Linked DNA regions of Elephas maximus indicus. The protein of the gene in region 1 interacts with the protein of each later gene in a pairwise test. Links are inferred from orthologs where the notes say so. Each region holds a gene or a part of one and is shown in the gene's direction. Other genes may lie near its edges.

Evidence for each region.
Region 2: the proteins of CCHCR1 (region 1) and EFHC2 interact in binary tests that used the Homo sapiens proteins (3 or more experiments, as listed by UniProt). The link is inferred for Elephas maximus indicus from reciprocal best matches to the Homo sapiens genes CCHCR1 and EFHC2.
Region 3: the proteins of CCHCR1 (region 1) and HSBP1 interact in binary tests that used the Homo sapiens proteins (3 or more experiments, as listed by UniProt). The link is inferred for Elephas maximus indicus from reciprocal best matches to the Homo sapiens genes CCHCR1 and HSBP1.
Region 4: the proteins of CCHCR1 (region 1) and C3H1orf94 interact in binary tests that used the Homo sapiens proteins (3 or more experiments, as listed by UniProt). The link is inferred for Elephas maximus indicus from reciprocal best matches to the Homo sapiens genes CCHCR1 and C1orf94.

What each region holds. Positions count from the first base shown.
Region 1 is NC_064819.1:91,462,641-91,470,064, reverse strand, and holds the start of CCHCR1 (coiled-coil alpha-helical rod protein 1), read left to right. Parts: upstream 1-4,338; 5' UTR 4,339-4,478; coding exon 4,479-4,685; intron 4,686-4,980; coding exon 4,981-5,047; intron 5,048-5,124; coding exon 5,125-5,338; intron 5,339-7,108; coding exon 7,109-7,406; intron 7,407-7,424. Other genes in the region: TCF19 (transcription factor 19), read right to left, coding at 31-265, 809-1,373, 2,417-2,645. UniProt on the Homo sapiens protein: May be a regulator of keratinocyte proliferation or differentiation.
Region 2 is NC_064846.1:128,993,548-129,001,618, forward strand, and holds the start of EFHC2 (EF-hand domain-containing family member C2), read left to right. Parts: upstream 1-4,950; 5' UTR 4,951-5,021; coding exon 5,022-5,063; intron 5,064-8,071. UniProt on the Homo sapiens protein: Microtubule inner protein (MIP) part of the dynein-decorated doublet microtubules (DMTs) in cilia axoneme, which is required for motile cilia beating.
Region 3 is NC_064839.1:49,799,454-49,807,285, forward strand, and holds the start of HSBP1 (heat shock factor-binding protein 1), read left to right. Parts: upstream 1-4,774; 5' UTR 4,775-4,811; coding exon 4,812-4,856; intron 4,857-5,388; coding exon 5,389-5,455; intron 5,456-6,233; coding exon 6,234-6,352; 3' UTR 6,353-6,354; intron 6,355-6,867; 3' UTR 6,868-7,832. UniProt on the Homo sapiens protein: Negative regulator of the heat shock response. Negatively affects HSF1 DNA-binding activity. May have a role in the suppression of the activation of the stress response during the aging process.
Region 4 is NC_064821.1:75,208,319-75,215,723, forward strand, and holds the start of C3H1orf94 (uncharacterized protein C1orf94 homolog), read left to right. Parts: upstream 1-4,289; 5' UTR 4,290-4,799; coding exon 4,800-5,128; intron 5,129-7,405.

The sequences.
Region 1 (7,424 bases):
CAGCTCTGTCCTCTCTGTTGGGCCTTAGGCCTAGATGCCAACACCGCATCCTGGGCATCGGAAGTCTGCCTCCCTGGCTGCCTGGATGCTGCAGCCAACACAGGCCACATGGAACCAGGTGTCACAACCATCACACTGAACCCAGGCCACTGTCTCTTCTTGGGGCAGGCAGCAGCGGGGAGCTGCACAGGGTTCCCCGCCCCCAACTGCAGGGGGGGCCATGGGGGCGCTCACTGGGTGCTTCCGAGGACGCCCACGACGGTTTCTAGGAAGTTGAGGGGAAGACACAAAAACGAGGGTCACTGGAAAACTGTAGGAGAAGCCTCGAAATCTGGGTAACTGCAGGGTGAACCTGGAAACTCCTTGGAGGCTTGTAGTGTGAATCTAGATAAACTCTTGGTAAGACATCTGTAATGTGAGCCTGTAAACGGTCCTCAAAATCTGTAGGGTGGATCTAGAAACAGTCCCTGAAAATGTGTGGGGTGAGCCTGGAAATGTCCCATCCTTAGGCACTAGAAGAGTGGGGTTGAAGATGTCTGAATGTAAAAGTAGGAATTCTGTGCTGATCTATTTTAAAACCACTGCCCCCATCCCACCTAACTCTTGCTGTGTCCTGTATATATATTGTTTCTGTCAGCAGAGCTAGCCCAGGTCTTGCCATTCCAACATCAATTCCACCTCTGCCCACTACCTCCCATCCCCACCCCCAAGCAGAAGGCCTCTTCAGGGCCTGGGGTTCTGAAACAGAATTAGAAAGCAGTGAAATATTGCTGGAAGGCAGACATGATCGGAAGGCCTCTCCACTTACCCGATGGGTGTCGGTGGGGTTTTCTCTCCTCGCAGTTTCTTCCTGGGCTCCATGAGGACTGGCGGGGGGCTCTCAGGCCCTTTCTCATCATCGTCCAGTTCTGCCAACACTCGGTGAGCTGATTTCCTCCGGTTTCTGGGGGCTGGGGTTCGGGCAGAAGGGGTGGTCCCCACTTCCCCAGGGGGAGTGGGAAGGGGTAGGCTCTGGGGCCCACCCCCACCCCGGGAGAAGGTGAGAGGCTGGGGCTGGAGTTTGCTGAGGCTGCCGATGGAGTTGAGGATCAGTGTAGCCTTTGGGGCAAGGGAGAGGGTGCTGAGGGGCCGCTGTGGAGCCCCCTGAGAGGGCAGCATCGGCTGGAAACCACCCCCGGACCCTGCTTCTCCCTGAGACAGTGGGATGGTAATGGCCGCAAAGTCCTGAGGTTTGACTCGAACTTGTTGGAACATGAAGTAGAACTCGGAGGGGCTGGTTCCTGGGGTCCCTTCAGGGCCAAAGGTTAGGAGGTCACCATCACTCAGCTCCAGCCTGTGACCCTTTGGGAGTCGGACATTATTGACTAAGGTCCCTGTTGATGGTGGGGCACCAGACAGATACAGACAGTGACAAAAAAGAAAGGACCAGAGTCAGGAGTGGAGAAATTTAGACCTGTTCGATTTTCTGGGGCCCATCAGGAGGAATATGACATGCTGTTGTCCTTCTTCCCTCCCTCATATTTTAAGCCCCTCAGGTGGTGACACCAGATAGTAAGCAGCTTGTGAGCTGGGAACAAGTTTTTTTTTATTGTGCTCTCCACGCTGATTCCTTTCCTCTCTCTGAGGTCCATGCCTCCATCTCAGTGGAAGCTCTCTCACCCAGCTCCAATTCAAAGTACAGTTATTATCTCAGCATAGCTCTGGAGCCAGGCTGTTTGGGTTCAAATCTTGGCTCCACCACTTACCAACTCTGTGCTCTTGGACAAGTTTCTTAACCTCTTTGTGCCTTATTTTCCCCATCTGTAAAATGGGGATATTAATGCCCCCCTACACTCAATGCACTTAAAACAGTGTCTGGTTCAAACAGGAAGTCTTAAATGAGTGTTAGCTACAATAATTATCTAATCCTTACACCTACCAAAGCAGACCCACTAAGCCTTACTATTTAGTTTTATCTAAGAGGAAACTAAGACCCAGAGAGGTGACGTGACAGGCCTGAGGTTTCACCAGGAGCCAGTGGCAGAACTGGGGCGTGAACCCGGGCCTTCTGAGGCTGAGACTATAACTACCTTTGAGTCAGGGAGAAAAAGATACACTCCCATTATTAAATTGTGATTTAATGCAACTACTTAAGATGGAAACAGGTGCCTCAACAAACCTGGAAACGGTCCAGTCTGAGTCTGGCCCCCAATGGCCACAGACATACCCCCTGATGATGTCCCAGGCACCGGATCTACTTCCCAGCCCCCTACAGACAGCTTCTGACACCACCCCTTTGGGGGGAAAATGATCTGGACCACAGCTCTATCCAACCAGACAAGGATTTTGGAGGCAGGCAGAGCCCCCATGGAGCCCCTTAGTCAAAAGCCTGGATCTGCAACCCTTCAGGGGCAATGCCGCCCTGCTCACTGCTCACCTTGGCTGCTGTGGTCCTCCAGACTGACCCTCCAGTCATCACCCTTGCGCTCAGCGTGGAGCTCGGCATGCACCCCGGAGATGAGGCCGGGCTCCCGCTGGGGCCGCAGAGCCACATCACACAGGTCGGCCCTGCGGCCCAAGCGATAGGTGCAGCCAGCCCCGGTGGGAGGGTGGAAGGTGTAGAGATCGCTGCCTCCTATGCGCAGCAGCTGGAAGCAAGGCAGCATGGGCGGTGCTTCTTTGCACCACGCCTTCCACTTCAGGAATCCATCACTTTATGCCGGTCCTGGGTCGTGTATGGCTGGTCCAAGTTCTCTTCCGAGTGTGATACTCAACCTGGAGCACACTCCCTGAGTAGGGGAATTTCAGGGGACAAGGAGCCTAGGCATGCAAAGCAAAATTGGCAGTCCAGCAGCTTTGCAACTGGAAAATTCGGGGAAGGTCCTTGGTGCAGTGACAAAACAGGAACACGCCCTATGGCACCTCAGTTGAGCCGGATCCTCAGGCCGCAAAATAATCGGAACGTCTCCAATCTGTGCAAAGCAATGATACCTTAGGCAGCTTTTGGGCAAATGCCAACTGGAGGGAGTGGGGGCTTGCTTCTGTGCAATAGAGCGCATCACCTCAGTGTAATTTGAAAAAAGCAGCTTCCTGTCAAACCTGCTTAGCCAAATGGAGTACCCCTTCTGCTCGCCCGCATCCCGCTTTTCTGGTTAATCCTCACTCGGAACTATTTAGTTTGGAACCCTGTGGGAAGCGAATCCACTGTCACCCCCCGAGAAGTCCCCCAAGTTCTTCACCAAAGCAGATCTAAACCCCTGCTTCCCAGTTTCCCTGGGTGGGATGAAAACAGCGGATGGAGCTCCCCGCAATCACGCAAGACTAATTCAGCCCTTTCCCTCCGGGTCCCAGCCCGGTTTCGGATCTACCCACGCAGTGACATCTCGGAGTGGTCTCCTTTCCAGACAGTGTCGGTCTGTGCGGAGGCCCCAGGACCCCTCGGGCTCCTTGGCCCGGACCCGCGCTCCCGCAGATGTTTGACAGCGAGGGTGCCCAAGCCAGGAGGGGCCGGGCCTCTGTGCGCGGGCTGACGCGACCCCTCCTTCGGAATTCCCGGGTCTCCAGTTCGCGCAGAGGGGGCCCGCCCCCTGATGCCTTTGATTGGGCAGCTCTCTTGTCCTCGCTTCATCCCATTGGGCAGCGCACTGGTATCCCTGCACTCCCGCCTTTCACCTTTTCTGATTGGTTCACAAGTTTTCCCGGGTTCCCGGAGTTGGGAGGAGCCACCAGGGCGCGGAGATACTCAAACACTGTAATTGGACCCAGTTTTAGACGCTACTGCGCCTGCGTACACTTCGCCCCTCCTTCCGGGGTGAAATCTGGCTTTGGAGCGGCCCACAAACCGGCCCGCTCTGCGCAGGCGCACTCAGGGGCGGAGTCCAAGGCCCCGGAGCTGGGCGTAGGGGGTGTGGCCTAAGGCAGAGGGGGTGTTCTCGCGCTGGGTAAGGGGCGTTCGAGAAGAGTCGGTTGGGGGCGGGAAGGGGCTGAAAGGGGTGCGGGGGTGGGCTTAGGGGGTCCATAGGAAACAAGAGGTACAGGGGCTAGATGAGGTGGTCAGAACAGCCTTAGCGCCCTGAGGGTGAAGGCTCAGGGGAAGCGGGTGTCTGGGGAGAGCGGGGTTGAGAACCGAGCATCGGCTGGAGTGCAGGGGGCGAAAGTACACTGATGAGTTGGGAGGTGAGAGTGAAGAGCCAGGATAATTCCTTCAGGGTAAAAACAGATTAGGAGGTAGGGAGGGACAGGAGTAGGTCCCCGATTAAGTCAAAAATAGATAAATTGGGGTGGGATGGTGGGAAAAAGATCTTGAAGAGCTAACTGTATGCTCCAGGACTTTGGAGAGGGGAGAGTGGGCAACAGGAATGAAAGCTGAGGGCATAGTAGAAAGAAATTGAGAGGAAGGTTGCAGGGAGGATTTGGATGAGATGGCAGAAAGACGGCCTTCTGCCTAGGGATCTTGCTGGCTGTATTCCCAGGGATCCCGGGGAGGCGTTTTGCCCCACATGTGGCCACGTTCACCTGGGGCCAGGCCTTGGGCAGGGGCTTTTACAGGGAAGGACCCAGGAGTCATGGCTTGGTGGTGCCTGGATGGGCTTCCCCAAGGCCTTGCTGAGCCATGGAGAGAACTCTGGAGATTGGGCTCGCAGCCCTTGGAATCCATAACTTCGATGCGCAGGACCAGCAGGGACTATAGAAGCTTAAGGAAGAGGGTAAAAGCACTGTCGAGAACCCTAAAATTATGAGTAGAACCTAAGTGCATCCCTCCTCAGGCTGTCTCTCAGTAAATTTCCTCCATCTCTGGGGTTATTGCCAGAGTTCTGTCAGGATCTTGGTTGGGACAACCAAGTGAATTTGCAGCTCCTCCTTTCAGGAAATAGGAGTAGGTGAGAGTGGGGTGGACCTGGCTGCTATTTAGGAAGGATGACTTTGTTAGTGTAGGGGCTTTCTTTTTGGAAGTAGGACTGAAAATTGAATTGGAGTGTCCTTTTTTCTCCAATTGTCCAGGGGAACATGGATGGCTGGAGACAGAATCTAGAGCTTTCAAATAATGTGGAGACGTTGCGACCTTCAGGTCAGTGGGACTAGGCAGGGGACTGGTGATTGCCTCTCCCTGGGAAACTGACCATCTGTGCCCTTGTGATTCCTCAGGTTCCACTGGGCTAATTCCCCCATCCCACTTCCAAGCTCGGTCCCTTCCAACTCTGCCAAGAATGGCTCCCACCTGGGTTGCAGACATTCCCTTGGTCCAATCCCCAGCCCATCAAGATGTCTCAGAGAGGCGGCTAGACAACTTGAGACCTCAAGTGCCAATGTGGGAACGGGATGCTTCTGGTGATGGGCAAGAGCCAGGGCGGAGAGTCAGGTAGGGATCCATCATTGTCGTTTTCTCAGGCTTGCTTGCCTTTGACCGTCCATCAAAACAGATTCCTTACCCTGTTTCAGCTCTAGGTTCCATAATTTGTTCATGTTTGTATAAACAACTATTGGGTGCCTACAACACATAAATAATAAGGCTAGGGATGAGGATAACAAAAATGAATGAGAGATCCTGATATTAAGGAATGGAAAATCCTGGGGAAGGAGACAGATTGGTCAACAGGTGATCCTAATAAGCATGAAGATGTGCAGACCAGGAGTATAGACTTGGTACTGTGGTGGTGAAGGAGCCCTGGTGGTGCAGCGGTTGAGCACTTGGCTGCTAAGTGAATGGCAGTTCCGACCCACCCGGTGGCTCTGAGGGAGAAAGACTGGCGATCTGCTTCTGTAAAGATTTACAGCCTAGGAAACCGTATAGGGTAGTTCTGCTCTGTCACATTGGGTCGCTATTAGTCAGAATCGACTGACAACACCTAACAACTGTGGTGGTATGGAGTCATTCTGATGGTGTAGCTGAAGAAAGCATTTACAGAGGACATGGCTTTAGAGCTGCCATGCTATTTGTTGATGTGCTGTCTGTAAAACTTTTTGACCTTTCATGTGTGTTTTCCCCAAATAGACTGGAATGTCATTCTGCCATTTTGCTCTAGAGTGGGCTTACACACATGAGTCTACCTTGGACCCCACCAAAGAGGAAGGACCATAATGAAGAAGAGGGACCCCTGGACTGGGGACGGAGACCCTCTAATGCTAGCTTGGCTGCCAAGTGGCAGACCTTTGCCCAGTTAATTTTCTTCTGAAAAATCTTTTGGTTTTGGGCTTCAATGAGGAAGCTATCGCAAGAGCCTTGTTATGAGTTAGTTTAAACTTTACACGACACCAGTAGACTATATACTCCCCAAAGGTAGGGTCTATGTAATTTATTGATGTACTGTCCCCTTTGACTCCTCATGTAATATACTGAGCACTCACTAGGTGCGTTTAACTAACCCCTGGCCTTACTGTACTGGTACTAGAAGCTCATGAGTGCTATACCTTTGCTCCTCCTTCGAACTTTTCCTTGCCCTTACATCAGAATTCAGAAGTCTCTGAGTGTTCTTCCAACCTCTCCACTCAGAATGTGTTTCCTAATGGCATACCCTATTCACACTGTTTCCCACACCTCTTGCTTTCCTCTTCTACTGCGACCCTTGTGTGCATTTGATGTTTAATATATATATATGGCTCTCTCTAGGTGTATGTCTCATGACCTCAACTAGCCCTTAGGTCCTGTGAGCCCAGACCAAACCCACTGCCATCGAGTCAATTCCAACTCATAGTGACCCTATAGGCCAGAGCAGAACTGCCCCATAGGGTTTCCAAGACTGTAATCCTTATGGAGACAGACTGCCACATCTTTCCCCCATGGAGTGGCTGGTGGGTTTGACCTGCCAACCTTTAGGTTGGCAGCCGAGTGCTTAACCACTGCACCACCAGGGCTTCTTATAAGCCCAGACAGTGGACCTGATATGTGCAGGGCCTCAATGAATGGTGATGGTGATGTAAATATAGAGATCCCTGTGTAGTATTCCTCATGCCTCTCTGCAGAGGCCCCGTGGCCCATCTTCATGCCCCTGCCTACCCCAATGGGAGCAGAGGAATCTTTTGCCTCTTCCTGTCTCCTATGACCCTGGGTGGGAGCAGAGAGGCCCGAGTATCTGTGTCCAACCTCCCAGTACCAGAAACACATCTCACCTATGTGAACCTGTCTTTGAAGGTCCCTGGAGGGGTCTCAGGCCCTGACCCAGCAGGCTGAGTTGATCTCTCGGCAGCTGCAAGAATTGCGGCAGTTTGAGGAGGAGATCCGGCTCCTGCGGGAGACCTCACTGCAACAGAAGATAAGGCTAGAATCCCAGGCCATGGAGCTGGAGGCTCTGGCGCGGGCAGAGAAGGCAGGCCGAGCTGAAGCCGAGGGCCTGCGGGCTGCCCTGGCTGGGGCTGAGGTCATCCGGAAGAACCTGGAAGAGGGGACCCAGCGGGAGCTGGAGGAAGTTCAGAGGCTGCACCAAGAGCAGGTGAATGTTGGGGTGAGA
Region 2 (8,071 bases), on another chromosome or scaffold:
CTTCTGAATTTCTGATTGTTCTCTGTCTATGGATTTTTACAGCTTATTAAATTTTTCATTATGTTCCTGAATAATCTTCCTAATTTCTTCAATTGCCTTATCTGTGTGTTCCTTGGCTTGTTCTGCGTATTGCCTCTTTTCCTTCCTGATGTCTTGAAGGGTTCTGTTTATTAATATTTTGTATTCCGCCTCTGGTAATTCCAGAAGTGCACGTTCATCTAGAATATCTCTGTATTCTTTGTTTTGAGAGCCTGTTGAGGTGATCATGGTCTGTTTCTTTGTGTGACTTGATATTGACTGCTTTCTCCAAGCCTTCTACAAGGTATTGTATTAGTTTATGCTTGCTCACTGTGTCATAGCTTTTTGCTTTGCTTTTTTTTTGTTTTGACATGCTCAAATGGTTTGCTTGAGTGAGCTAGCTTGATTATTTTCACCTTTGGAGCTCTGACATCTTGTCCCCAGATGGCTAGAGCTGTTATCAGGTATATCAGTCTGTGAGTTCATTCAGTTTTCTTGTATGAATTCATCTCAGGTGTCCAGGTAGCTGATCATCAAGTGTGTGGTACAGGCTGTGTCCTACAGTCTTAGGGGGGCAGGGGTGATTGGTGTATGTACTGGCATCTGATTGCAATGGGGGTCACCCTCTGAACAAGGCAGGGGGTAGAAAACCGACCCCTGAGTGTCTCTGAGGAAAGCACATCCCTGTTCCCTAGAGCATGCAGGTGGGTGAGTTCTGCAGATGGACCATGGGTACCCAATGTTTTTGTTTGTAGGAACTGGGAGGTACCATTTATTCTTGCACCCCCTTTCGTGTGTGGCTGGGTGATCTGAGTGCAGCTACCAGTCCTTAGGCCCCTATGTGGGTAGGTGAGGACACTGTTTAATAGGCAAAGCAATGTCAAGTATCAAACACCCACTTCTCCACCTCAAAGCTAAAAAGGTTGGATTCTGCAAATATGGGTGTTGTCTCCTGAAATAGGCCCACACAGGTCCATGCAGAGGGGAAAGGTGCTCAAAGTCCATGGACTGTTTATGCCTGGACAGTAGCCGCTTCTGTCCTGAGCTCCCCTGGTTAGTGGAGCTGACAAATTATCGTTTCCCCCAATTGCAAATTTTTTTCTTCTCCAGGGCCAGGAGGATGGCCCTAGGCACTGAGCAGGGCCTGTCTCAGGCCCAGGGAATTCAGCCATTGAAGGTGGCTTGGGGTTGGGGATGCACGGTAAAATATATGCAAGTACTTAGCTTTTGCCGGGAGCGCCGTTCTTCTCAGCTTCCGGAGGTGTGAGTAGGGTGTGTTGCTGGCTGCTTCTCCCTGAGGAAACTGCGGTTGAATGCTAGTACCAGTCTGCCACCGCTGCTCCGGGAATGGTGCCTGAGGGCTCCGCATGATTCAGGTCCAGTAACTCCTCTCCGCTTCTGAACCATTTCTTCCTCCCCCTGCCCCTCTGTTCTTTTGCTAAGCTTGCCTTTGATATTCAGGGCTCCTAGCTTGTCATAAATATACTCGTTTCACTTGTTTTTTAGGGTCTTTGTTGTAAGGAGGGCTTGCTGGAAGCGTCTGTCTATTTCACTGTCTTGGCTCCTCCTCCCTCATAGTATTTCTAGTTCTAGTTTTTTAAGGAAGAACCATACTTAATGATCATTTTCTGATTTTGATAATTCTATTTCAGCTCTGTACTAGAATATTTTCTGTAAATATTCAGTGAAGTATTTAGGGACATGGTGTCTGCAATTTACTGTCAAAGGGGAAATCATGTGTATATAGAGAGAGAATAATAGAACAAATATGGTAAAATATTAAAAAAAATTGAAGGAATCTGTGTGAAGGAGTTATTTGTACTATCTAGCAACTTTTAAAAATAAGTTTAAAATTATTTCAATTTAAAAAGTAAAAATATTTAAAAATGTTTGTAATAAAAGTAGGAGAGTAACTTCATCTTTTTGGCAAAGTGTACAAATCACAAACCATAATGGGAAAGGGTGATACATTTGAGTAGAGAAAATGACAAATTTTTGTGCAATAAAGAACTCCATAAATGGAAGTAACAGGCAAAGCACAAGTGATGAGAAGATATTTGCTATGGCTAGGATTAGTGTCTAGAATGAATATATATATATATATATATATATATATATATATATAGACACACACACAGAACTACAAATCAGTGAGAAAATCATGCATGATTCAATAGAAAAATCCAGTAAAAAAGGGTATGAATAGGTAATTAACAGAAAGTAATAAGCATGTGAAAAGATGACCAACTGTACTTGTAATTAGGTAAAGATAAATTAAGATAACAAGGGTATACCATTTCACATTTATTCAGTTGATGGTCCAAAATTATAAAATTTGATAACACCCATTGTTGGAAAGGATAAAGAGAAAAGAGGATTTTTTAAAAAAATTTTCTTAAGTGGTTCAGTGATTCTAGAAATGATTTAACAAGATCTAGTAAAGTCGAAGGTGTGTACCCCTAAAACCCAAACCGAGTGCTGTCGAGTCGATTCCGACTCATAGCGACCCTATAGGACAGAGTAGAACTGCCTCACCCCTACAACCCAGCAATTGCACTTTTGGGTATAAACTGAACAAAACCAAACCCATTGCCATAGAGTTGATTCTGACTCATAGCGACCTTGTAGGACAGAGTAGAACAGCCCCATAAGGTTTCTAAGGAGCTGCTGATGGATTCAAACTGCCGACCATTTTGGTTAGCAGCCTGAGCTCTTAAACATACCCTAGATAGTCTCTACCTTCTGTGCCAAGAGGACATATACAGGGGTGTTCATTGCATCATAGTCGATAATAGTGAAAAATTGGAAACACCTAATTGTCATCAACAGAGAATAGATAATTTGTGGTATAGTCATACCATGCATTCAGAATGAATGAAGTATATCTACATGCGTCAACATGTAGAAATCTGAAAAAAATCTTAGTTGAAAAAAGCAAGTAGCAGAAATTTATAGTGTAAAGGCTGTAAACACAGAAAACAATGTATACTTTTTGTGAATAAATGCATACCAGTATGGAAACCCTGGTGGCATAGTGGTTAAGTGCTACAGCTGCTAACCAAAAGGTTGGCAGTTCGAATCCACCAGGCGCTCCTTGGAAACTCTATGGGGCAGTTCTACTCTGTCCTATAGAGTCGCTATGAGTCGGAAGTGACTCGACAGCAGTGGGTTTTGGTATCAGTATAATAACATGGTTGCAAGGAAGTATACAAACCAACATCATTAAGATGGTTACCTCTAGTGCAAAAGTAGGGAATGGGATTGAGTAGTAGTATAAACAGAGCTTCAGCAGAATCGATAACATTTTATTTCTTTAAAAACAAAAGGATTTGAAGCAAATATGGCAAAATGCTAGCAAATGTTTAATCTGTGTGGTGGATATCTGTATGTTTGTTAAATTACTATCTGTACCTTTATGTTAATTTAAAACAAACAAACCCAACCCAACTCAACCAAAAAACAAAATAACACAAAACAGAAAAGGAGATACAGACCCTGCCCTGGAGGAATTTTGGGATATTTAAAGAGAGTCAAGTAATATGTCATTACAATATAGAAAGATGAAAGCCACAATTAAAATGGACACCTAATACAGATGGGGTGGGGTTGGGCAGGAAGAAGGTGAAGAAACATTTCCCAGAAATGGCAAAGGTTTCCATGCCTCTCTCCCACACTGAACCAAGTCCTGAAAAACAAGAGGGCTTACCCAGGTGAAAGGAGAAAAGGTTGTTTCTAGTAGATAGTGACATTTGCAAAACCCCAGAAAGGAGAAAGAAACCTCAGGGCTTGGTCTGGGAGCTGCCAGTGGCTTTTCACAGCTGAAGTAGAACAGGCATGGCAAAGAAAGGGACAGAGGGTGTTGGCAGGTGACCCTGGCAAAGGCTGTTTAGAATAGGGTGAGGAGTCCAACTGCCTCCTGCCTCCTGAAAGAAGGATAGAAGGCTAGAAAGCTGTTTAAGCGGAAGAGTAACAGGTGTATCACGAGTTACGAAAGGATGAAATATCAGTCAGGTTTTTTTTTTTTTTTTAAATTTTTTTTTAAAGAGGAAAACCAGGGAAGAAATAATGGGGTCTCAACTGAGATAGATGAGGTGGTGACTAACCGATGCCAGAGTGTCTAAACAGTAGAAGGCAGGGAGGGATTAGCTGTAGGTGTGGGGAGAAGAATGGAGGAGGTTCCTGGCCTGGGCATCTTGGATAGATGATGGAGTGACAGGTGCTGAGTTTTGTGCCACCTGACTCCTCTCCTGGCCACTCCATGATTATGAGCACCTTACACACGTTTAGTTCAAGTATAAAAATGTACAGGGGAAGGACTGGGGATGGTGGTTACCACTGGAACGGGTTTTTGTGTGGGGGATGGATGGGATATGTGTGGCATTAGATTAGCCTAGAATACTTGAATTTAAAAAATAACGCTGATGTAAATGCAGCATAGGAAAACATTAACTTGTGTTAAATCTCAGTGAGCACATGGATGTATTGTTTCCTGAACTTTTCTGTATGTTTGAACTATTTAATAACCACATTCAATAATCAAATGGCCAAAAATGTTGGGACCAGTATTGGAGGAGTTTAAGTACATGAAAGGATGTGAGCTCTACAAAGGGGTTAAACCATAAAGCAGCGGGGGGCGGAGAATGGTGTGGTTGTCAAGTCTTTGTGCGTGCACAACGCGTGTAGAGAGAAGACTCGGATGACTTGTACGCGGCTGAGTGTGGATGGGCGCTGGAAGCAGCGGGCGAGGAGAAGAGGCCCTCCCGACCCTGCCCCTTCCCCTCCCTCTACTCTAGCTCCAGCCGGAGGACCGACCCGAGCCCCGCCCGAACTCCGCCCCTCCCTGCCGCCCGAGCCCCGCCCCGAGCCCCGGCTCGGCCCCTCCCCCTTCCGTTACACCGCCTCCCGTCTCCAGGTAACGAGAGGTCGAATGACGCGGCCTCGAGGCAGCCGCTGCAAGCAGGCCCCTCTACTTTCAGACCCTGGGTCCTCGGACGCGGAGAGCCATGGCCTTGCCCCTGCTGCCTGGCAATAACTTCAACCGCAACGTGAGTAGTGAGGACGCCCGAGGTCAGAGGTCCTGGCAGGAGTGTGGGTAGTCATTGACCCCGCTGGTGGCCGCCAATCGCTAGTTATCCTCCTGCCGGTTGGGCTCATCTTGGACCAAACTTCATAGGCTGGTGGAATCCTTATTTCTCTGCCTTTTGTCATCTCTCCCTCCCCTCTCTCCACAACTGCATCTGGGTGCTTTTCCTACATTAGGTACACAGGTAGTGTCCTTATAGGTGATAAACGAAACGACAGTACCCGTGAAAGTAAATGATGATAATGACAGTAATACTTAGTAAATGTTGAGCGTTTAAGGTGTGTCAGGAACTGTGTTTTAATCGCCTTATAGGGCATTTGATGCTCCCAACAGCCCTTTGAATTAGGTACTATTTTTACTTCCATTTTGCATTTGGGAAATCTGAGGCACAGAGTCACTCACCGACCCAGAGCTACACAATCTCAGTGGTGGAGCTGAATATCTTCCAGGCAACCTGTCCTCACAGCCCAGGAGCCTAATTATTTATCCTCAATATAGGGTGTGAAAGGGATAAATATAGTTTTCCATTAGTAAAGCAAAGAAGCCTGGCACTCTCAAGGGGGATGGGGGCTGATTGGCACTGAAACATGGAGGAATTTTTTGAAGGTACAAAACAAAACAACAACAACACAAAATACTCTGAGCATTGAAGAACTTTAAGAAAGGTGTTTAAGTAAGGTGCTATTTATTCACCTTAAGAACATTCAGGTGAATAAATAGCACCTTACTTAAACAAGAGCAGAAAAGCCATTCAGGCTTTTGTTTGCACTGGTCACTGTTCTTTACTTGGGTTTGCCAGTTGTGTCTGCAGGAAAAGGTAAATAATAAACCAATGGGAAGGAACTAGATGGAGCAAACAGTTGGATGTTGCAAATAGTTAAGTGCTGGACTACTAGCAGAAAGGTTGGCGGTTGGAACTCACTGAAAAGCACCTTGAAAGACAGCCCTTGCTATCTGCTCCTGGAAAGTCATTGCCTAGAAAACCCTATGGAGCAGTTCTCTGTATACATGTGGGGTCTCCATGAGTTGGAATCAACTCAGAGACAACTAACAACAGCAGTTCATAAACTTTCTAAGCTTAAGCATTTGACTTTATGAATTCTGAACATGTCTGTATCCAAGTCGATGACTCTAAAGTACTGGTCAGCTTTGTAGCCTCAGTCCACAGGATTCTGACCCCCCCATGCGTCTGTTCAGTCAAAAATATTGGTTTGCGCATTTCTTGCCTGGTGGGTAGAGGCTGGCCTTCCAGCACAGCGCGGCCCTTTGGTAAGATTAAGCCAGCCATCCAAATAAGAATGGGCCTAGAGAGGCAGGGCATGAAAAATGAAAAAAGATTCCAGAAGTAAAAAAGCATGCTGTGTAAAAGTAATTTTAATAAAAATTGAAAGTGAAGCCCACACCTTTTGGCCCACAATGGTTCAGATTACTGATGCCCACCACTTGCAGAAGTATCACAGCTCTCACATGCAATGATTAAGGGTGGGAAGGAAAACCAGTGGTTGGAGGAGATATTTTAAAATCTGCAAGGCTGTACTGGTGTACTTTTGCTCTTTTTTTTTTTTTACCCTTTTACTGTGAAGCACAATGTATAGAAAAATGCACAATGGATGATTACAAAATGAATGTCAAGAAATGGAACCTTCCCAGAATTCCTAGTGTTCCTCATGACTAGGGTTGCCAGATTTAGTAAATAAAAATACATGTCCCAAATATTGCATGGGATATACTTATACTAACAGATCATCTGTTGTTTATCTGAAATTCAAATTTAACTGAGTTTTGTATTTTATCTGGCAACCCTACCTATGACCATTCCTGTTCACTATTCCTTTCTGACTCTCCAAAGGTAACCACTCTCCTGGTTTCCATCACTATAGTTAGGTTTCCCTGCTTTTGAATGTATTATAAATGGAATGTCTAATGTTTATTCTTTTGTGAGTAGCTTTTTCAACTCAACATTATGTTTGTGAGATTTGTTCATGTGGCTCTCTGTAGAGGTACTTATCCATTTTCATTGCTCTATAGTATTCCATTGTATGACTATGACATTGTTTATATGTACATTTTACTCTTGATAGATATTTGGCTTGTTTGGGGCTATTAAGAATAGTTTTGCTATGACTATACTTGTTCACCCCTTTTGGTACTTCTTAGATCACATGGTATTTATATATTTAGCTTTAGTAGACACTGTCAAAATGGTTATATCAATTTAAATTCCCACCAGCATTTTATGTTCCTATGCTCTACATTCTAACACTTGATTTTACTAGTCTATTAAATTTTAGTTATTTCAATAGGTGAGTGTAGTGTAACTCTTGGTAGATTTAATCTGCATTTCACAGATTCCTAATGAAGGTGAGCACATTTTATGCATTTATTGGTTATTTGGATATTCTCTTTTGGAAAGTGTCTGTCACTTGTCTAATTTTCTATTGGGTTGTCTTTTTTTTTAGTGACTTGTAAGGGTTCTATACTTATTTTGGGTATAACTTCTTTGCCAGATATATGCGTTGGAAATATCTTCTAGTCAGTGGTTGGCCTTTTCACTCTCTTAATGGTGTTTTTGGTGAATAATTTTTTTCCTTTAGGTTTATGCTTCCTGTTTCCTATTTAAGAAACCATTCTTTACACCAGGTCGTGAAGATATTTCCCCATGTTATCTTTTGGAAATTGTGTTGTTTTTACCTTTCACATTTAGATCTACAGTCTACCTAGAATAAATTATTTGTGTGTAAAAGAGGGGTAGGGATCAAGTTGTATTCTTTTCCCATATGGATATTCAGTTGACTTAGAGTCACTTTTGGAGAAGGGTACCCTTTTTCCACTCCTCTGCAGAGCCACCTTTGTCATACATCAAGTGTCCATATATGCATGAGTCTGTTTCTAGACTCATGAGTGTATTTAAAAAAATAGAATTATTTATGCCTAAGACCAGTAGGAATGTGTGTGTGTGACTTGAAAATA
Region 3 (7,832 bases), on another chromosome or scaffold:
ACCCCAGGCAGAAAGGACAGCCAAGGTAAGGGTCCGTAGGCTTGAGCCTGCTCCGTGTGTCAGGGGCCCAACAAGAAGGGCAGTGTGGCTGGGGCAAAGTTGGGGAGGGGATGGTGCGAGAGCAAGTCAGGGAAGTGGCAATGTCCTCAAGAGGGCTCATGAGCAGTATTTGTGTATTTCTACACAAATAACACGCACCTTCTACATTGGTTTGTCAGTGGCTCCCTCCGCCCGTGGGATATTTTCCTAAGCACCGCTATGCCAATTTTTTTTTTAACATGTTGCTGTAAAGAAATGTTGGCATAGTGGTGCTTACAAAAATACCTGGGTGGGGAGAGGGATGGAGGCTGGCAAACCAATGCAGAAGGTATGTACTATCTGCATGAAAACAGAGTAAGTATAACATGTTGAAATGCAACTTCCAACACCTGCCAGCTGCCAAGTGCACCAGTCTCCCTCCATGATCCTCTAGCCTGAAATCACAATGGAGGGGCTGCCCCTCCACCCATCTAAGCTCCGTAATCCCCAACCCCTCCTCATCAACCTTCCACGACCAATTATTCTTTCAACAACATGTAGGTGTGGAGGGTGAGAATTAAGGGGCCTTGACTGATCGGCTCTATTTACTCCACAATATAGAAAATAAGGTTATCCTGGGTTTGAAGAGGAAACCCTGGTGGCATAGCGGTTAAGTGCTATGGCTGCTAGCCAAGAGGTCGGCAGTTCAAATGCGCCAGGCGCTCCTTGGGAACTCTATGGGGCAGTTCTACTCTGTCATATAGGGTCGCTATGAGTTGCAATCGACTCGACGGCAGTGGGTTTGGTTTTTGGTTTTTTAGGGTTTGAAGAGACTGCAAAGGCTGAAATGACCACTGGAGGGCGAGAGCAGGGGGCCTGCCAGGCCACTTGGAAGGATAAGGCCCCACATCCTGAGCTGCTGTGACACCAGCTCACTCAGGTGTGGGATTCTCGGCAGCAGAAGCAGCAACCACAGCGACTCTGAGCCCATACAGGTGCAGCGACGGAAAGAACAGATTACAAGGTTTCTCTAAATCCCTTCTCTAATCGTGTCTTCTCTGCTTGTTGTTAGCTGCCATTGAGTTGGCTCCGTCTCATGGTGACCCCCCGCACAGGAGAACGAAATGCTGCCAAGTCCTGAGCCAACCCCATGATCGGCTGTGGATCAGACCACACAGCTCCATAGGGTCTTCACTGGCTGATTTTCAGAAGATCACCAGGCCTTTGTTCCTAGTCTGTTGTCGTCAGGAAGCTCCACTGACACCTGCTCAGCATCCTGGCGACACACAAGCTCCCACTGACAGACAGGTGGTGGCTGCACATGAGGTGCACTGACCAAGAATCGAACCCAGGTCGCCCACGTGGAAGGTGAGAATTCTACCACCGAGCCACCACCGCCGCCGCCATTCCTCATCTGCTTACGCAAAGCAAACAGACAAGCAAAAATCTCATTGCTGAGCAACTACACCTGTACAGGAACACCCCCTCAGCATATATCTGGAAAAAGAGAGCATTCCAGCTCAAAACAAGGAGCTATTATTAAAGCACCATATTAAGCCCATGTAAAACCAAACCCTCTTGAAAGGCGAAAAGAGAATTACAACATGCAATTAATCTAGAAAGAGCTAAAGAGTAAAAAAAAAAAAAAAAAAAAGTGCTAAGAGGAGCTAAGACAACTACGACACTTTAAATAAAGGTTAAAAATGAGGGTTGTTGAAAAGTGAAGTCTAAAAGGTTAATTACTAGTGCCTTACACATAATACACTAGTTTTCTTAATGGGACAATATTCAGTTTAGGTTCAGCGTGTCAGCCCCACAAAGTATATCAGCCATGACTATAAATTAGTGAAGCTTTCACACCAAGCAGCTGTTTAACAGACCTGTGGTCTCTGCCACACAGACTATACAGTCTTTCTATTGAAGTGAAAAACAAAGGAACAAAACAAAAACCTCCACTAAAAGAATGCCAAGTTTATTTGCTGTTTATGTAAAGAAAATTTCAAACAGGATAAAAAACCTCAAGTCTCCTGCCAGAGGGGGAAAAAATACTCCAGGTCCTGATGCAAATTTACGTCCTTCTGTTCCTCAAAGGCCATAAACCAGGGTGGCTCACAACTTCGGTGTCCAGGGTGCAGGTACCCAGACTTCCACGCTGAGGGTGGTAGCCCTGAATGATGGGGTCTAAAGTAAGAAGGGGGAGGTCCTACCTCCCCTTGGCTACTTGGTAGCTAAATGACTGGAGGTTTCTGAAAACTCTTTATAAAGTAACAAGCACAACACAGATGGAAGAAGGTGATGTTACTTCACCAGCCTTCAATCTCAGCATAGATGGAAGAACATTCTCAAGAAACGGCCGGAGCAAGAACAAATTCATGTTCGAAGAACAAGTACACAGAATTCGAGGCAGCGTCTACAGACCCTTTTAAGCCAGGGGTTCTCAATCGGAGGGAGTTTTGCCCCTGGGGGATGCTGCCAATGTCTGGAGGAATTTTTGGTTCTCACGCTAGAGGTGCTACTGGAATGTAGCAGATAGAGGCCAGCGATGCAGCTAAACATCCTAGAACACCCAGGACAGCCCCCATGACAGAGAATTTTCCAGCCCAAGTGTCAACAGTGCCACTGTTGAGAAACCCTGCTCGAAGCTCAGAAAACTCACGGAATTCTGGAATGATAGAAAAAGCAGAAGATGTAGAGTCAGAAAGTCCTGTGTTCAAGTGCTGCATCTACTGCTTCCTAATTGGATGACCTTGTTTACGTTTCTTAGCCCCTCTGGGACTGTGTTCTTAGAATTGTAAAATGATAATAATTATATTACAGGGGTGTTCTGAGGATTAAGCAAAAACACTGAGACAAAAGTATCCAGGTGAGCAGACTGAGTCCAGTACAACTAGATGGTGCCCAGCTACCACCACTGACTGCTCTGACAGGGATCACAATAGTGGGTCTAGGACAGAGCTGGAGAAAAAGGTAGAACAAAATTTTAACTCACAAAAAAAGACCAGACTTACTGGCCTGACAGAGACTGGAGAACCCACAAGAGTGGAGCCCCCAGACACCCTTTCGGATCAGTAATGAAGTCAATCCTGAGGTTCACCCTTCAGCAGAAGATTGGACAGGCCCATAAAACAAAATGAGACTAAAGGGGCACACCAGCCTAGGGGCAAGGACTAGAAGGCAGGAGGGGGCAGGAAAGCTGGTAATAGGGAACCCCAAGATTGAGCTTCTAATCTCAAGAAACACCAAAACCCACAGTCTCTTAGCCCCCTGACACTGTCCCCTCCTTTACCAAAGAAGCCTTCCCCAACAACACCAAGGAACATCACATTGCAAGAGAAGCCAGACACTGAAAGAGGCCCACTGTCTGATTTCACTTACATGAAATTCAAAGGCAAGACCAGTGTGCGATGTGAAAAGTCAGGGCTTGGTGACTTCTGCCGGGTAGGAGAGGGCCTAGTGGGCTGGCCATGTTTTTAAGCCGGAGGCACGTAGGATTTCTGCACTTTGCAGTAGGCATGTTAGACAGTACCTGAAAGTTAGAATCGCACCAGCCACCTGGCCCCGGGGCAGCGGAGACCCACCTGGGCCGGCATTGCCAGAGCTTGGCAGCCACTGGCATGGCGGACCGTTGGTTGCCTCTCTGCCCTGAGGGCCCCTCCAGGTACATAGGTCTACCTGGTGTGCACAGGTGCACCTGTGAAAGGGACAGTAGGCCAGCCCCTCTGCTGGACTCAGGTATGCCAGAGCGGTGACAGCGCGGGGACGCGCACAGCTGGGCTGATAGTCGCAGGGCCCGGGATGTTCGTCCAATCGACCCCAGGAAGCCAAAGCCGTCCCAACTACTGCGGGAAGACGGTCAGGGCATTCCCTATTTGCCAGGATCCGGTTTTGTTCCACTTTTTTCTGCCTGGGAAAAACAAAAAAAACCAAACCCAGTGCCGTGGAGTCGATTCCTACTCATAGCGACCCTATAGGGGAGAGGCCCAAAAGGAGATCAGAGGGGCGGGCGCCGGGGACGGGAAAGTTAAAGACGGGCGGGGAGAGGTGGCGGCAGAGCAACAGGGGCAGGGCAGTGCAGGGCCCGGACGGGCAAGGCAGGGGCGGGGTGGGAAATGGGGCAATGCAGGGGGGTAAGGCCAAAGGCGGAGGGCGAAGCCGAAGAGGCGGGGTGAGACAGGTTAGGGCGAGGAGGGGTGGGGCGAGGACGACCGTGGAGGGGGGGAGGTGAGCGGAGAAGGGCGGGGCCTCGCTTAGTACCATAAGGGCAAGAAACCCAAAACCAAACCCTTTGCTTTCCAGATTAGACTCATAGCGACCCTACAGGACAGGGTAGAAGTGCCCCAAAGGGTTTCCAAGGAGCGGCTGGTGGATTCGAACTGCTGACCTTTTGGTTAGCAGCTGAGCTCTTCACCACTGCGCCACCAGGGCTCCAGAAACGGAAGAAAAAACAACCAAACCCGTTGACGTAGAGTGGATTCCGACTCATAGCGACCCTATAGGAGGGAGTAGAACCATCCCGTATAGTTTCCAAGGAGCGCCAGGTGGATTCAGACTGCCGGCCTCCTGATTAGCAGCGGTAGCTCTTAACCACTAAGCCACCGGGGTATCTACAAAGGCGAGAGCTCGGGGCTTTTCCGTGGCGTTGACTTGAACTACAGCTCCCACAATACCCCGCGGTCTCGCGGTCTCTCTCTCTCTCTCTCGTCGCGAGAAGAAGCCGCTGGGGGCGTCTGCGCGGACAAACGGAAGTGTAGGTGACGGTCGGAGATATCACCGCCAAGCTGGGAAGCGGGGAGATGGCCGAGACCGACCCCAAGAACATGCAGGATCTCACCTCGGTGGTAAGGGGCGGCTGCGCGGGCCCGAGGACGCGCCATCTTCCGCGGGCGCCTCCCGGGGCCCGCGGCGGCGGCGGCGCGAGACGTTTCTGGAGGCTTCGCCGCCTCCGCGACCCGCCGGGGCCCTCGGTGTAGACCTCTCCCTGCCCCAGACCCCTCCTGGGTGTGTCTCCTCCTGCCCCTGAAGGCCCCTGATGACCCCCATGCTCCCGCCAACGTCCCATGCTCACCCCTCAGCTCTGGCGCACCCCCGAGATGTGTGCGTGATGCCTTCAAGTCGCCAAAAACAACCAAAAAACCCTGCCGTTTTTGAACCACAGCGGGCCCACCCTGAAAGGGGCTCCGCCGGCCTTCAGTCTGATTTAACAGATGAGAAAAAACTGAAGTCGGAGAAGGAAGTTTTTGACTAAAGGTCGCAGAGCCGCCAAGAGGCCGAGTTGGGGCTGGAGCCCGGGGTCCAGGTCTCACTCCTAGACCAGGTTTCTGTCTTGATCCCATGAAGGTGCCTCAGGATAAGGATGTTTTCTTCTCTTAGGTCCAGACACTGTTGCAACAGATGCAAGATAAATTTCAGACCATGTCCGACCAGATCATTGGAAGAAATATCCTTTTACTTCGTGTCAGCCTCTAATGGGCCTTGGATCCTACTTGCCAGGTAGTCGGTAGATGCCTAAGAAGCCCCGGTGGCGCAGTGATTAAACTCTGGTTGCTAACTGGGCTTCAAACCCACCATCTTCTCCACGGGGAAAGCTGTGGCAGTCCGCTTCCATAAGGATTACAGCCTTGGAAACCCGATGGGGCAGTTCTACTTTGCTCCATAGGGTCGCTGAGTTGGAATCCACTGGACAACTGGTTTTTTGTTGTTGTTTCGGTAGATAAAATGGGTGGTTTGCAGACCAGTTTCAGCCTGCCATTTACCAGATTACCTGGATGTCCTCTGTTCCCCAGAAGTGCTGTGCTAAGGGCTAGGAACACAGAGTTGAACTAGACAGAGCCCTGGCCACAGGGAACTTACAATCTTCCCATAATAATGGCTAATGTGATTGACTTCTGACTGTGAGCCAAACACTTCTTGTGTCTACTCCTTAGATCCTTATGAATAGGTGATGCTGTCACCATCTTTGTTTAGCAGATGAAGAAACTGAAGTTTAGTAAAGTGAAAAAGCTCGCCCAGGCTCCCATCACTGGCAAGGGGCAGGGTTAGGATTTGATCCTGGGCATCCTTGCCCCAGGTTCCTGTACTCTTCAGAATATCCAGAGGAAACTGGAAAACCAGTTTCATTAACACAATTGTGTTTAAGGCCATAGTACAGGACCTTGGAAAAAGGGGATAAGAAATGGGGAAGTGGAAATGCTGTTCATTGTCTTTAACTTGATCACTTGATGACATGAGTAGTCGCATTGATGATCTAGAGAAAAATATTGCAGACCTCATGACCCAGGCTGGGGTGGAAGAACTGGAAGGTGAAAACAAGATTCCTGCCACACAAAAGAGTTGAAGGTGAGGAAGGAGCTAATTATTTTTAAGAAGGAAAAAAGGAGAGTACAGAGAGGTACCTCTTAAGTATTATTTTGATGTAGATAAACTTCTCTAGATGAATTCCCAGCCATGGCCCCAGCGAGCATCCCTTTTATTCTCTCCCCCTGTGGACTTCATGTTTTGACATGGGTAATTTGGAAAATGCCCTGCTAGTTTTATAAACTTCTCTAGGTCTTTTCTGTGATTTGGCATTCAGATATCCCATAAAGCAAATTGAGAACATCCTTAAGAACTGCAGGATTGAAGACTTTGGAGAGACAGGGAAGATACAAAGCAGTGGGAATAGGAAATAGTCACAATTTTTTACAAAGTTCTAATTAAACCAGTTGTGTTTTTGCTAGAATATTGTACAAAGAAAACATGTTTTATTCACTAGAGAATTCTGAAAGGATTTTTAGTTGATAATTCTGTGTATCATTTTTATTTGTCCTCATATAATGAAAAACATCTTGATGGTGTTCCCTTTTTCAACAGGTTGCTAATAGTTTACAGTGAGGTCTGGAACACAATTTTTACAAGCCAAGAGAAGACCGAATGGCTTTTTGCACCTAACTACTACGTGTAGACAGGTTTTATATTATAAAGTGTGTGTTCTTACCGTAAATCATATAGTTAGTTTTCGGAGTGATTTTTCCTGTAGTTTCTTGAATTTTTTTTCTTGAATATGGTAAACTTCACATCTCGGACCTTGGTCTGTTGTGCTGTTATTAAACACTAAAACTCTGGCAGTTCCTACATAAAATTGTCAAAATTTTAGAGTGTTTTCATGAAGTCATTTTCTGTCATTCCTTTTGTAGTAGTTGCTATTTGATAAAAATTGCTCTGTGGCTTTTTTCTTAGACAAATGGTAAATCCTTCAGTTAAACTGAACTTTGTGAAGTAAAACATTAGTTGAGTTTGAGGTTCTTAATTCTCAGCACAAAGTGGCTGTTGAACTGACACCAAACAGCGTGCTGGCAATACTTTCCAAACAGCCAGAAACATGTAGAATTCGTTTATTCCGAAATACCTGGCACTCCTGTGTGGCCAAAACTCAGAATCGAACCACAGCTCTATTTCTATTATAAGTGCCTGAGATCAGATGCTGAAGTCCATGAAAAGTCACTATTGCCACTTTAGTATGTTTAAATATGGAAAGTAACGGAATAGCCTAACATAATGAGATGTCATTTGTTACAGTTTTGCATGAGATTCTTATACTTCAGTAGAACCCTATATTCACCTATAATAGTTATCATGAAATACCTGGCAGGATTTGAAAACCTGAATTATTCCATCCTTTCTTTGAACTATTAATTGGAAAAAAGAAATACAGATTACCTACAGAAAAGGGCAAGAGACCATATTAAGTCCAGTTGCTTGGCTAGAAAGTGATGAATGACTTTGTCGTAAGGCTCAAGTTTTTACAAGATCCTGTTCTACTTAAACTATTTCTTAGC
Region 4 (7,405 bases), on another chromosome or scaffold:
TTCCTTAATAAACCACTCAACTGTAAGTACAATCTGTGAGTTTTTTGTGGTCATTTTGTGTGGTCATTGCAATGGGTTATCAAACCCAGATGAGCAGTAGAGAGTGCCATGGGAGGGATGGCTGGTGTCAGAATTGGTTAAAAGGTTGGAGATAGGAGGTATGTCTGACTTCTACCTCACAGGGATCAGCTTTTTGCTGATGGTGATTCACATTGTCTCCCCTGAATTTAGATAGGTGATGGTGTTACTATTACTACTACTAGCCCGTTTTTACAATCAGGCACTTATGGAATGTTTTTCCTTCCTAATTAGACTGTGACTTTGTCTAGAGTAGAGGTCTTACTCATCTCTAACTCCTGTACCTTGCACAGTCTTGACCCACACACAGTAGGTGTTCACAGTGAACTGAAAGGTGCCATCTGCTGAAAAAGATATGCCCACATCCTAATCCCTAAAATCTGTGAATGTGGCCTTATTTAGGAGGAAAAAAAAAAAAAAAGGTCTTTGTAGATGTGATTAAGTTAAGGATCTTGAGACAAGATCATCCAGAATCATCTTCATGGGGTCTAAATCAAGTGTCCTTACAAAAGAAAAGCAGAGGGAGATTTGGGACACAGAAGGGATGAAGGCAGAGATTGGGCTTACGCAGCCACAACCCAGGAATGCCTGGAGCCACCAGAAGCTGGAACAGGCAAGAAAGGATTCTTCTATAGAGCTTCTGAAGGGAACATGGCCCTGCCAACACCTCGATTTTGGACTTCTGGCCTCCAAAACTGTGAGAAAATAAATTCCTCTTGTTTTATGCCACCAAGTCTGTGGTAGTTTGTTAACAGAAGCTGCAGAAAATGAATACTCAAAAGGAACAGATCCTTGGGAGGCTCAGGTGATGCTTTGATTCCATTCCTCCAACACAGAGCAATTTCCCCAGTACGCCTAAAAGTACAAGTGAAGTTCTCCCTCCTCACACATAACATGAAGGCCTGTGATTTGGAGATACGCATTTCAATGTAATCAGCAAGCAAACTACAACACTTTTATGGGCTAGGTGTTGTTCCTGGGACTTTCCATGTGTTTAGTAATTACTTGATAATAGAACATCTACACAGGTACAACAATTCTATGAGGTGGGTGTTCTTTATTATCATCCCTATTTTACAGATGAGAAAATGAAGGCACATAAAGGTTAGGTAACTTGTCTAAGTTGACATTGCCAGAAAATTTGAACTCAGAATTTGAACTCAGGCAGTCCGGCTTAAGAATCTGTTTTTGCAATAGTGGAAATATCTTCTGCACTGTTCACTATGGTATAGTCTCTAGCCACACATGGCTATTGAGTACTTGAAATGTGGCCTGTGCCACTGAGGAAGTGAATTTTTAACTCTATTTAAATATATTTAATTAAATTTAAAACAGATATGTGGCTAGTGGCTATCATATTGGAAAATGCAGCGTATACTTTCTCTAAGTACATTACTTGAGGTCTTTGCAGAATCTTCTAGAAACCTCAGCTGTATATTCCAAGAAGCAAACCTTCATTCACAGTCCCTACTGTATTTTTTTTTTTTTCCTAATCCTTTCTGATTTAGACCCTGTTGCCCAGTCTCCTGCTGAAGAGGAGAGAGAACAGGAGGAGTGAGTAAGCTGGCTAACTTTCCAGAATCTGTGGTCTGGGCAGCGCAGGATTGTTGGCGTTCTGCTCTAAGCATAGGGTGTTAGCCAACCAAATGCCAAGCAGCACAAACACTGAGTGACATTTTCAGAACTATTAATATTTCATCAGAAATGATCACTTTTCCTTTAAATACACTATCTTAAAAGGTTTTCTACATTCTTAACTATAATTTTATTCAGTCTAGGTCCTCAGAATTTTCCCCAAAGGAACACATCTTCAACTTTATAATGAAAATCAAAGGGGAATGAAACTCGGATTTCAAAATTTAGAGTCAACATTTCTAGGAACTCAGCTCCTCTGTAAAGAGCACGGTCGTGTATTGGGCACCTACTGTATGCCAGGCACGTTACATACAGTATACCATTAATTCATTCAACACATATTTATTGAGTACCTACTGTGTGCCAGAAATTTTATTCCCATGATAATGAACACCATTTTAACAGAAAAAGGACTCTCATGCTTCTGTTTTCTCAGAGAAGCCTGCCTGGACCATCATCTAATGTTGCCCTTTTCCCTCTTTCTCTCCCTCTCCCCTTCCCCTCCTCATGCCTCACTTGTTGGTTTCCATCACCAAACCAAAAACCAAACCCAGTGCCGTCGAGTCGATTCCGACTCATAGCGACCCCACAGGACAGAGTAGAACTGCCCCATAGAGCTTCCAAGGAGCACCTGGCGGATTTGAACTGCCGACCCTTTGGTTAGCAGCTGTAGCACTTAACCACTAAAAAAAAAAAAAAAAAAAAAAAAAATTTTTTTTTTAACCACTACGTGCCCCTTATTTCATCTCTTAAACATAAATAAATAAATAAACCAAACCAGTTGCCTTCAAGTAGATTCCAACTTTCGGTGACCACATGTGTTTCAAAGTGGAACAACACTGCATTTCAGAAGTATCAGGCCTTTAGAAGCACCTCCGGATGCATTCGAATTGTCTTAGGGTTAGTTGTTGTTGTTGTTGTTAGCTGCTATAGTCAGCCCCGAATTCATGGGGACCCCATGTGTTAGAAAGTAGAATTCCTTCATGGAGTTTTCTTGGCTATAATCTTTATGAAAGCAGATCTCCAAGCCTGTCTTCCATGGAGCCACTGAGCGGGTTGGAACCTCCAACTCTTAGGTGAGCGGTTAAGTGCAAACTGCCTGTGCCACCCAGTAGCCAAGCTTTGAACCCTTTGTGCCATGCAGGGATCTGTACCCCATTGCCATCAAGTCGCATTCAAGTCAGAGCGACACTATAGGACAGAGTAGAACTGCCCCATAGGGTTTCCAAGGTTGTAATCTTTACAAAAGCAGACTGCCACATCTCTCTCCTAGAGTAGCTCATGGGTTCAAACCACAGACCTTTCCCCTTAGCAGCCCAACACTTAACCACTGAATCACCAGGAATCTATAATTAATGTTTATTTACTTGCTTGGCTAGTCTGTGGTCTATCTCCCTCCATTAGATTATAGGCTGCATAAGAGCAGGGACCATGCTTTTTGTTTATTCTCATGTTTCCTCAATTCCCAGCAAGGCATGGAGGAAGCGTTCAGCCAATATTTGGGAAATGGATGAATGAATGAGGATGAGAGAAGTCAAGAAAGCTGTTCAGGGACACAGGGCTTGGAAGTGACAGTTCAGGATTCAACCCAGCCCTACCTCCTTAGGCTGCCAGCTGGCCTATTTGCATCCATTCTCCTTTCTTCACCTCTTGCTCCTCCTTCTCTGGGGAAACTCTGGAGGAACAACCACTGAGTCCTGAGGCTAGAGAGCCCCTGTCCGAGTTTGCTGATTCAGTTCTGAGTTCAATGAAGCACAGGAAAGAGCTGTCTATCTCAGTGGCTCAGGCCTAGAGTGCCCAAGTTTGAATCCCAGCTCCCCATTTCTTAGCTGGTCATAGACATATCCCTTTGTGATTGAGCCTCCGTTTCTGTATATGCAGACCGATAATAAACGATAGTAACTGCGGGAGCTTGTAAGGATCAAGTATGAGAACGCAGAAAGCTCAGAGCTTGGCACACGGCAAGCGCCTGACTGAAACGGCAGTTAGCGGTAAAATCTGGCTGACAAAGGGGCAGGCCCCCTGGCTGGCGCGACGTTTGTGTTTGGTAGCTGACCGAGGCCGCAGCCTGTCTCCTCTGGTGAACTTCTAATGGGGGAAAGCTTCCCCACCGGGGCGCCGCCTCACCCGCCCCCAGCCCGCGGCGGCAGAGGGCCTTGGGCACCGAACCTGGGGCGCCCCGCGCACCCAGCCGTTGCATTTGAAACCCACAAAAAGAATTCCACCGCTCGATGGCAAGGTCGTGAGAGCCACTGGCACGCAAACAGGCCAAAGCCGCCTCGCCCCGCCTTCCCGACGGAAACAGCACCCTTTTAAGGCGTAGGGACCCTTCCTGGTGCCCATCCCCGCGTCCCGGTTCGGAGGACGTGGCAGGTGTCTGCTGGAGGTGCTGGGGGCGGGCTGCGGAAGGCCGCAGAGCGCGCCCCAGACTTACCCGCTGAAGTTTTCTTTCTAGAGGGCGGCAGAACAACCCCTGGAGAAGGGTACAGGCGGGGGCTAGTGGGGCGAGCAAGAGGGGACACAGCGGGGGGAGGGAAGGCAGGGGCCGTTGGCCCTCAGGCTGCGCGGGGGTCCCTGGGAAGGCGGAGCTGAGACTCTAATGGTGGCCTCCTGCCCCCACCGTGCCTAACACGGTGCCAGGCTCTTAACAGGTCATCCGCTGGCTTAGTGGGAGAGAATGGGCTGAGCCCCAGCAGCCGCAAGGTGCCAGGGGTGTGTCGCAAGGGGGGAGTGTCAGGGACTGTGGGGGAGAGCCAGCCTTCCCCCTCCAGCTGTTCCCAGATGTCATTCTGCCCGCCCAGGCGCCTGCTTCCTGAGCTGCCGGGGATTCCACGGTTACTAAGCTACTGGTTTTTGTTGACTTTTAAGTATTTTCTTCTAAGAGAGAGGGGGAGGGGGGCAAAAGTCAGGAAAGAGCAAATAAAAACAAATCACACAAAGCTCCCCCTCCCCAAAAGAAAGCTCTTCACTCACCACCACTCACACCCAAATCGAGGGCCTCTGAACATAGTCACCTTGCTGGAGCAACAACCAGACAGAACTGACCTGCCTCTGCCAGGCCCCATCCTCATCTCCCTTCCTGGTGAATGAGGGGTAGTGGTGGATGGTCCCCCAGTCTTCGAGCTCTGGGTGGACAAAGGGGCTTCCAGAGAGAGAGGAGGAGCATGGCCAGTGGGAATGGACTCCCTTCGTCCTCGGCCCTGGTGGCCAAGCCTCCCTCCGCCCTGGGCCCATTCCCCAGATACATCTGGATCCACCATGACACACCCCAAGACAGCCTAGACAAGACCTGCCATGAAATCTGGAAGAGGGTTCAGGGCCTGCCTGAGGCCATGCAGCCCAGGACCTGGACGGAGCAGCTCTCTGCCCCCACGCCTGGGACTTCGAGAAACAATGGACTTGGCTTCCAAGAACAGTAAGTGTCTCCCTGCTTGGATGGTACCAAGGGAAGAGGGAGGAGATGAGACCTGACCTGCTGGGGGAATGTTCTGGCCCATTGTTAAGTCAGGTTACATCCTAAAGCTATATACTTCTCCTCCCCAACCATGGTCTTCGTCCATGCTTTAGAGAGAAAAGCTGATCATGGCTGTGGATGAAGGATCAGGCCAGGGCTGTATTCCAGGCTGCCTCTTCACCAGTCCACTAAGAGAATATGTTTTCATTCTAAAGGCAGACCTAAACCAGATTTGTGTCTGAGGTCCTTGAAAAGCCATCCTAGCCAAGGCCGAGGGTTAGGTGGCTATCTCTTTTGAAGCCCATGGCTTTCCCCAGAGTCAACCAGAAGATCCTTCCTTCTTCCCATCCCTCAAAGGCTGGGCATTCACACAGATGAGTCTGGTAATTTTAAATCACATCTGGAATTCCCTAATACAGGGAGCAGCTGTCCCATTCAGCCTCCACAGAAGCCGCTGCAAAAACTCACATCAAAATATTTACTGGGAAGGCATTGACATATTCAGAGGACATAATAGAAAATTAAAGTGTGGAAAGATGGCTGTAAATAGCCCATTTCCTAGATAGGGAATCCTATGACTGGGAAATATGGAGCTCAGAGTTTCTCTAACAGAGCAAAGTTGGGCAGATATTGTTGGGGATGGAAAATCAAAAGGAGAGGGAGGAGCAGAGAGGAAGAAGGGACCTCATTAGAAAAAGAACATAAATCCAGTGTGGTTATTTATGCCACCGTTGAGCACTTCTTCAATGTTTTGCATCTTCAAAGTGGACTGCAAACGTTAACTAATCCTCCCAGAGTCTCTATGAGGCAGATATTAGTGTCCCCATTTTACAGATGGATTATGTGTTAATAATTAAGTGCTAATAAAGACTAAGTGATAATTAAGTGCTACCGATCCCAACACATGCTCCGGCTCGGTTCAGAGATGCTGTGGAGTTGGGGAGCCATTCAGGCAATTATCACTGCCTCTGGATTCAGGGATTTCCAAGCAAGAGCTAGAAGAAAGGCAAAGTGTAACTGCTACACAGATCTGCCCTGCCTGCTGCATTTACCTACTTGTGGCAGATGAGGGTGAAGGACACTGTGGCTATTACTGTCTCCCCAGCCATGTGCTCAACACGACATGGCTCTGATGGGATTGGTCCTCCAGTGATACTGAGCCCCTTGCCCCTGCCATAACCATCTGCTCAGGGACAGGGCCTTGGCAGAGGGGCTTATGGGGCTCTGCTCAGCTCCTGATGGCCGAGAGTCAGTAGCAATTTCCAGTAGATGGCACCCTTTCTGCCAGGTCACATGGAGTTAATGGAGACAGACTCTAGTTCCAGTCTGTAGTTGGCCGACAATGGAACTGGTGCACTTTTGGCCAGTTGCTTAACTTCATTTGGCTTTGATTTTCTCATCTGCAAATTGACGATGATGTGCCTTGCCTTGTCCACCTCAGAGGTGATAATGAGTATCAAATGTGATGGGCTACAGGAAAACAAAAGATGCATTATACAAATGAAGGCTGTTTTTACTATGTGACTCTTACGATTTGGGTTGTTACTGTTGTTGGCTTCAATCTGGGGTTTTCAAAGTATGTTCCATAGACCCTACAGTGCTTCAGGGCCACCTTGGAGCCAAGTGCCTGATTTCTGGGTCCCAGACCTCACTTCGACAGAGCTGTTCTGCTTTTATCTGTTTTCCTTACTGGTGTTCTGAGTAAGGCTGCCTTGGAAAAAGGGGTTCTGCTGCTGAGGAATGAGTTAGGAAACCACTGGCTTAGATGAATGAATGATATCATAATCGTAAAGATCTCAGCCAAGTAGAACAAAAAGAGCTATTACTGAAATAAAGGCAGGGTGAAGGTGGAGTCAGATAACTCTGGTTTCAGATAACATTGCAGCCCAGGGGTGACTGCAGGATTCCTGACTTCTTAAGTTCACGAAATCTTGGTTTCCTCATCTGCCAAATCAAGATGATGATTATGCATTTCATAGGGTTTTTTTGGGTTGATTAAGTGGGATATTTAAAAATATGAGTTGGAGTTGACTCAACGGCAGTGGGTTTGATTTTTTGGTGGTAATAATTAGGTTTTGTGAATTCCTAATATAATGATGATAATTGCTTTACATCCACAATTATTGTGAGGTAGGTACTATTATTAAACTCTCCATTTTTATATTTTTCATTATGTAAATTTTCAAACACATAAAAATAGAATAGTATAGTGAATGTCCACATATCTGTCACTGAGTT